Nothobranchius furzeri: one gene and its partner. The protein of the gene in region 1 binds, or shares a complex with, the protein of each later gene. Links are inferred from orthologs where the notes say so. Each region holds a gene or a part of one and is shown in the gene's direction. Other genes may lie near its edges.

What was found.
Region 2: rtraf (region 1) and zbtb8os share a complex: the UniProt entries of both Homo sapiens proteins name them as parts of the tRNA-splicing ligase complex. The link is inferred for Nothobranchius furzeri from reciprocal best matches to the Homo sapiens genes RTRAF and ZBTB8OS.

The regions. Positions count from the first base shown.
Region 1 is NC_091754.1:55,851,098-55,855,007, forward strand, and holds the start of rtraf (RNA transcription, translation and transport factor protein), read left to right. Parts: upstream 1-1,071; 5' UTR 1,072-1,193; coding exon 1,194-1,254; intron 1,255-1,664; coding exon 1,665-1,789; intron 1,790-1,951; coding exon 1,952-2,051; intron 2,052-2,269; coding exon 2,270-2,350; intron 2,351-2,436; coding exon 2,437-2,525; intron 2,526-2,609; coding exon 2,610-2,678; intron 2,679-3,910. Other genes in the region: histone deacetylase complex subunit SAP18, read left to right, coding at 1-21, 119-275. UniProt on the Homo sapiens protein: RNA-binding protein involved in modulation of mRNA transcription by Polymerase II. Component of the tRNA-splicing ligase complex and is required for tRNA ligation.
Region 2 is NC_091758.1:34,389,407-34,393,299, reverse strand, and holds zbtb8os (protein archease), read left to right. Parts: upstream 1-1,718; 5' UTR 1,719-1,834; coding exon 1,835-1,916; intron 1,917-2,073; coding exon 2,074-2,098; intron 2,099-2,178; coding exon 2,179-2,300; intron 2,301-2,423; coding exon 2,424-2,506; intron 2,507-2,655; coding exon 2,656-2,708; intron 2,709-2,784; coding exon 2,785-2,821; intron 2,822-2,909; coding exon 2,910-2,996; 3' UTR 2,997-3,350; downstream 3,351-3,893. Other genes in the region: histone-binding protein RBBP4, read right to left, coding at 1-15, 97-270, 374-519, 594-741, 1,177-1,192. UniProt on the Homo sapiens protein: Component of the tRNA-splicing ligase complex required to facilitate the enzymatic turnover of catalytic subunit RTCB. Together with DDX1, acts by facilitating the guanylylation of RTCB, a key intermediate step in tRNA ligation.

The DNA.
Region 1 (3,910 bases):
ACCCAGAGGGAAAATGTACAAGTAAGTGTCGAGCAACACAGATCGGGGTCGTAAAATCATACTATTGTTCATGAATTCCTGTGGACTGAGTTTGTGCATCTCTTTTTACAATGTTCAGGTTAAAAGAGATCGGCAGTACCATGTCTGGCAGGAAGGGTTTGGAAGACTCCATGACGCTGCAGTCCCAGCGGTTCCAGATTGGAGACTATTTGGACATAGCCATCACACCGCCCAACAGAGCCCCGCCCCTCAACCAACGCATGAGGCCCTTCTGAACGCACATGAAGCGATACATCTGTTTTTGGGTTCTCTTGAGTAGTTTAGCCTCATTTTATAATTCTTCATGTTTAATAAAGCTGTTTTTTCCCTATAGACTGTTGTTGAGTAGTTAATATCAATAATGTGTGTTTGTGAAGAGTTAATTTGCAAAAACAGACCAGTTTTGATCAAACATACCAAACTCACTTGAATGATAATCCTTAATTTAAAAAGTTTTTTTTTTTTTTTTTTTTGCAAATTTGTATAGAGACTTCTCTGTTTCGTTATATAAACTATGTATTTAAGTTAAGGTGCCATCTCCACATTTGACCCATCGCCATAGGGATGGGTGAGCTGTAATTATGGCTGTGCTCAGGAACCAGTTGGTGGTTTAACCCCCAATCCAACCATTTTAAAGTTGAGTGTCAAGCAAGGAGGCATTGGGTCCCATTCTTAAAGTCTTTGGTGTGACACGACTGGGATTTGAACCCCGAATTCCAGACAGGGCGGACACACTACCACTAGACCACTGAGCTGGTATTAAGTCATTTTAAAGAAAAAGATAGACCACGGATAACGTTATTTCAAGCTCTTTGGTGTCTACAAGCTTAAAGTAATGGACGTATGCTTCAACAAACTCAAATGTGGGTATTTGAAAAAGAGACAATGGCAAAGGTCCCCTTTTTCCTGGCCTCTCCATACACTTCCTTTACTAAACCAGTTCGTTCCTTCAGAGTAGCATCCATCCTGTGACGTAATAAGACACTTGTTTCAGATGTGAATTCGTTGTTAGCTCTTATTTTGGAAAGCACAACCGGAAATACTCAACTCCGACAACGCATGCGCGCTGCCGCACACTGAGCTAGCAACGTAGTGGTCATTTAAGGTTTAATTATTTAGAAACAACGAAGGGTTTCACATTAAAACTTCGTGAAATGTTTCGCAGAAAACTAACAGCTCTAGATTATCACGATCCCAGCGGGTTCGACTGCTCAGGTAAGCAATAAACAGGCTGTTTAGGAGGTTCGGTGAGTTTTAATGGAACCAAGTTAGCACGAAGTCCTGAGGCGGCGAACTAAACGCTACAAATAGACTATTTTAAGGTTGTGCTCAGTTTTAGTAGCACACGTGTTTTATCAGCTTTAATATCTTCATAAATCAATCAAAAACACACCACATGTGTATTCGGCATTAATATTTGTAAGATAGCTTCATTTCTAGGGATGTATTTTGCTAGTCTAGCAGACTAAACGATGACCGTGTGTCTCATTGGGCTATATTTATCAGTTAAACAGCTGGACTCCTTTGCTTCACTAATTATCAGAGTGTATAACAGCAGATGGTGATTAAAAAAATTATGTGTTTTCATAAAACCAGTAAAATAGTGACGCATCCGCTTTTGTCAGATGAAACTCACTTCAGAAACTGCATCGTGTGGCTGGAGGACCAGAAGATCCGACACTACAAGATCGAAGACCGGGGCAACCTTAGGAACATCCCCAGCTCTGAGTGGCCCAAAGCCTATGAGAAGGTGAGACTATCTCAGAGCTTATCTCCTAACAAGAGTCCCAACTAGAGCTTACGTGTGTGTGTGTGTGTGTGTGTGCGCGTGTGCGTGCGTGTGTGTGTGTGTGTGTGTGTGTGTGTGTGTGTGTGTGTGTGTGTGTGTGTGTGTGTGTGTGTGTGTGTGTAGTACCTGCAGGACCTGACCTGTCCATTTGGAGTCCAGGAGCGTAAGGAGGCTTTGGACTGGTTACTGGGGCTGGCTGTGCGTTATGAATATGGAGACAACGGTATCTGATGTGATCGTTTATCTGTAAAAACCTCCTAAAATGATATTTATTCAGAAATCACAGCTTTGATGTGGCGTGTCAATGGTTGAAATACCGACCACGACCAATAGAGGGGGCCATAACAAAGGAAATAATGCCAACACGCATAGAAAGCTGAATTATAATTAGGTTATTATATGATGGCGTTTTTTCCTTATTCTGGGTGTTTTGTTTTGTAGTTGATAAGTATAAAAACTGCCCGCCGCTGGCCGCTTCGGGGAACGGCGACAGAGCCGTGGATCCTCTCATCAACCTGGACAGTAAGCAGGAACACATCTTTGCTGTTACTACCTTTTAACGTTTCATTCATCACCTAAAGGTCTAATAAAAAATAAATACATTTCAGGCAGTTCTCCAGATTTTAAAGCAGGAGTCACCGCTCTGGCGAACATTCTAAAGATCCAACGACACGACGATTACCTGGTCATGCTCAAGGTGAGCTGTATGCGTGTCTACATCATCCCTGAATGTGCTCAAGTTGTTTACTTTGTGACGTTTCCTAATGTTTTCACTCGGCAGGCTATCCGCATCCTGATCCAGGAGAGACTTTCACCAGAGGCCATCACAAAAGCCAACCAGAACAGAGAGGTACACGTTACACTGTAAAACAGCAACAAACTAGTCAATTAAACAGAAATGGTAGAATTAGCTAAAATGGTCAAGAAAATGACCTTATTAGTCTTGAAGATAACGTTAAACATTTTTCTGTGTTTCTGTGAACAGTTAGTATCTTACCAGCTGTAGGGAGTTCTTTGAATGGCCTCAGTTTGGAGAAAGAGTTTGCAATTTTTAAAACGCTCTAGTTAAAAATATATCAGTTATTAAATAATAATAATAATAATTTACTAGGGTTGTCAGAAAATATTGATATGGCAATATATCGTGATATTTTTTTCAGTGATATATCGATTTTCAAAAGTGGTGTATCGAAAATATCGATATCGCAATATATTGCGGTATAGTTTTCTGCGATATATCGATATTCAAAAGCAGTGTATCTAATTTTTGGAAGAATTTACATACAAACATTTGTGTATTTTCATTTCTTTTGGTGCAATTCAAACGCCGATCACTAGTTGGCAGCAGTGTGCCAGTGGGTTTTGTTTCCACCGTTGAAATGCAAATCCCTCCATTATGGTTCAGATACCTCATGTTAAACATGTTAGTATCGGTTTGGATTGTTTGTTGAATTTCACTATGATAAATTCAGTCTAAAAAAAGTCGTTAATATCGAATGTATCGCAATATATCGTGATGTATTGTATCGTCTTCCCTGTATCATGATGTGTATCGTATCGCCGTAATTTCACCAATACACACCCCTATTATTTACACACATGGTGCTTCTGGCTGGCTTTTCATAATATTTCTGCTTAAACAGTTGTCCTCAATTCTTTTCAGTGATGTCAAGGTACGTGTTGAATATGGCTTCTACTTACGTGGACTCTCAAGCCGCCCCGCCTCACTAATTGAGAACCACTGTGCTAGATTAACTACAAAACATGACATTTATGACAGTATTAATTGTAAAAAAGTATTTGCATGATTTAGAGATTGTAGTTATTTTAAGACATTTTATAATTAGCCTCATTTTGACTAGCTGCTAGCTTGTCACAATTAGCTAATCTCCATTTCTCTAAACTGAGGGTTTTCAAAGGCCTTTCCACAACAACTAGACGACATTTAACCAGAAACACTCTTCAGAAGTCCTGAGCTGTTCTATGATTTTTTTTGAGTGTACACACTATAAAAATGTCACGTGAAGTCTTTATTTATTTATTTTCTTAGCCCATGTTGTTTCATTTAAATCGATGATCAGT
Region 2 (3,893 bases), on another chromosome or scaffold:
ACTCTCCAGAAGGGTCTTAAATTCAAACAGAGCCAGCGTTGCAAGGAGATGCAAAGGGTGAGAATATCAAACTTGCTGCTTTGCCATAGATCTTACCAGGCTTAGAGGGATGTTTTGTGTAATCAAACACCAGCACATCGCTGGTGGGAGTCTTGGTGGCAATGATGCAGGGATTCTGGGGCATGTAACGGGCTCTGTTCACTTCTCCCTCATGGTTGATTTTTATCTCAATCTCTATTTTACCACTTACAGAGCCAAAGCCTCCAAACTCTGAAACAAAAGAGAACATGTCACTAAACCATTCACTGTAACAGATCCATTAATCAGCCCCTGTAGCCAACTAGACGTGCATGGCGCATTTTCGCCTTTTCACCTCCTTTTTCGCTGTCGTAGTGTGAAGCATCAAACTGGGCATCGTCGTTTGGAAGCTGAACACTGGCAATTACAAGGTGATTCTGCTCATCAGATGTGTGAGTCCCCAGAACCAGCCGATGCACACTATAATCCTTTCCCTCTGGTCTGTGGAGAGCGACGTGGATTACACAAAAATGCAGTTTCCTTGCATTTGCATAAGTGTAAAAGCACATTCTCACCTGGTGACGTCTGGCAGCCACTGAGCAGTGAGACTGGGCCACTCCAGGGCATGAGTCATGACCAGATCATAGAGGAAAGGGGTGTTCTTCTTCCAGATCTTGTACTCTTCATTGATCACCCTTTCTTCCACAGCGTCATCAAAAGCAGCTGCATAAAAAAACAACAACCAACATTAAAGTCATCCCTGCAAATCACCAATATGAACATAGAACTCTGAGAGGGAACAAAAACCATAGTATCATTTCGGTTATGTCAACCGAATAGTTCACTTGTCAAATTAGCATAATGGTTACCATATTAGCTAATTTTACAAATAAAATATAACAAGCATACGAGGAATGTAATCAAAATTACTACAAAACACTTATATACGCTAAATATATAAATCCGTGATCTGTATATTTGATGTTCCAAGTCCCGTGTCGCCAACGCGTTAGCGGCTACTAGCTAGCATGCCGCTAACAATGAAAGATTCTAGCTGCGCGCGAACCGTTGCCGGTCCACCCGGATTTGGGTTTTAAGCGTTCAATACGAAAAACCTTTCCACCTAATCCCGTAGTGACGATAGACTAACGCTCTTACCGTCTTTATCGGCCATTGCACCGTAGCTAATTAGCTGATTCAGGCTAAAAATGTGTTATTTTGGGGAAGAACGCACAGAACACAGCACGACAGCCCTGCAATGGCGCCAACTCCATAGAACAGGACTAGCCAACCAGCATACAGTAAAGTCGATCGGAAGTCTGACGTACACACGCTACTACTTCCGGAACGTCAATTTGATTACATGGGACATGGCAGCTCGGAATTTAGAAGTCGGGTAAACAAATTGGATTTGTGAGCAGGTGGACCTGTCCATTTACCTTACATTTTTAATTGAACTAGTATAACACAAATCTAAACTAAAGTAAACAATAAAGGAAAAATATTTTCCAATTTCTAATCAATTAGCCTACAACAGAAAAATAAATGATCATAGCCACTTTTGTAGAAAATTGTTTCTGTTTGTGTTAATACTGTAACTGATATTAGTTCTTTCTAATAAAAGATGCAAAATAAATTTGATGACGGAGTATATATTTTTATTCACTTACACTTTGTATTGTACAGACGTAAACGCGGACAATAGAATATACGAGCCACAACTTTGGACTTTGAACGCAGCATTTTCCTTTTCTTACGCTAACATGGTGTAAGGCAGAAATAGTCACTTTAAACGTTTAAAAGGCTTAAAACTACAATGGAAGACCGTGAACTAGATTTGACAGATGATCAGAAAGCTATTAAAGCTAAATACCCGCCGATCAACAAGAAATATGAATGTAAGTACGAAATAATGATACAGCAAGTTGTTAGCTTAGCTGTTTTCCTCATGTAACAGTGGAAGAAAGTCTTCAACTTTTCAAATGAAGTTGTTGAATGTAATCATCATAGCTGTTTCTTTTCAGTAAATTGATGTCAGCCTGTGTTTTATTTCAGACCTGGATCACACAGCTGATGTACAGTGAGTGTCTCATTCCCCGTGCTGTGCAATGTTTGCTGCTCAGTAATCACAGTAAGAATATTTACATATTCATTTTAAAGAATCCACTCCTGGGGAGACTCTTTGGAGGAAGCCTTTGAGCAGTGTGCCATGGGGATGTTTGGCTACATGACGGACACAGAGACCGTGGAACCGATCGATACGGTGGAAGTGGAATCAGAAGGTGGGGATCGTTATCGGATGATCAGTTTATTGTGTTTTAGTTTTGCCGCTGATCAATGTACGTCATGCTGGTTTAACATGTGTAAAACACCTAAACAATCAATCTGCTTGTTCTGTTTCAAAGGTGAAGATATGGAGTCCCTTCTTTTCCACTTTTTAGACGACTGGTTATACAAGTTCTGTGCAGATCTTTTCTTTATTCCCAGGGTGAGTCTCTTGAATAGTTGTGAATACTTGTCCCCGCTAGCTTTGAAACATGCTCCGTCATGCTGGTTTCTTAAGCCATGGAGCAGTTTCCACATCACAAGTGTGAACTAAAGTAATCTAGTTAAACACGTCTTTTATTTGTTTATTAGGAGATCAAAGTTTTGTCCATTGACAGGATGCAGTTCAAAATTCGCTCTATTGGGTAAGTTTAGAATATTCAGTTAAACAAACCAGTTTGTATTTTTTATTTCCAACTCTTTCTATTTCCTTTTTTAAAGGTGGGGTGAAGAATTTTCTCTAGCAAAGCATCCGCAGGTAGGCCATGGAAGAAACTTTATTGTGAAAAGTGAGATTGGAAGAGACTATTGTTACTCATTTGTCCTGCTGTATGCCGTCTTTCAAGGGAACTGAGGTGAAAGCCATCACATACTCTGCAATGCAGATCCACGACAAAGAAAAACCAGAAATATTTGCTATCATTGATATCTGAAGATGCCTCAGACCGCACAGCAGACCTGGTTGACTGGAACTGAATGATCTACACAGCCATTTAACGTGGTCTTTGTATTTGAAGCACTGATTACTAAATAGGAAAATCTGTTTTTATATTGATGGAAGCTCTCTGTAAGATCATTTTAGAAGGTTTCATATCTGATAGATGCATTGACTTAGAAAAAAAACAAATTGAATGTAAATAATGTAAGAATTGGTATACTGAAAGTACATTTGATTAAAAAATTAAAATGTTGATATATGCTAATTAAAAATAATTACGTTGAATAATGTGACAAATTTCTGTTCATGACGTCTGATTTAATGTAAATAAATCAGTGAATGTTTGGGATTGATGGTTGACCCCCTTGGAATAATAGAATAATTGTTCAAGTTAAGACACTGACTTAAGCTAACTCGCACCTAATGGTGGAAAATGACCCAAGCAGAAAAGGGGAAAAGCAGTTATATAAAAATACTAGAAAAGTTTTCCCGGGAACTTGGCACTGATAAAATGATGCTCTGGTCATCAGGCAGCAGGAAAGGGGTTTGGAGATAAACTTTCAATGCACACCATTTGTGGAGTACCCCAAGGCTTTGTTTTTGGTTAACTCCTGTTTTCACTATACACTCACTGGCCACTTTATTGAGTACACCTGACCAACTGCTTATTAACACAAATTACTAATCAGCCAATCACATGGTGGCAACTCATTGTATTTAGGCACGTTGACATGGTCAAGACGATCCGCTGCAGTTCAAACTGAGCTTCAGAATAGGGAAGAAAGGTGATTTAAGGGACTTTGAACGTGGCATGGTTGTTGGTGCCAGATGGACTGCTCTTGAGTGTTTCAGAAACTTCTGATCTTCTGGGATTGTCACGCACAACCATCTC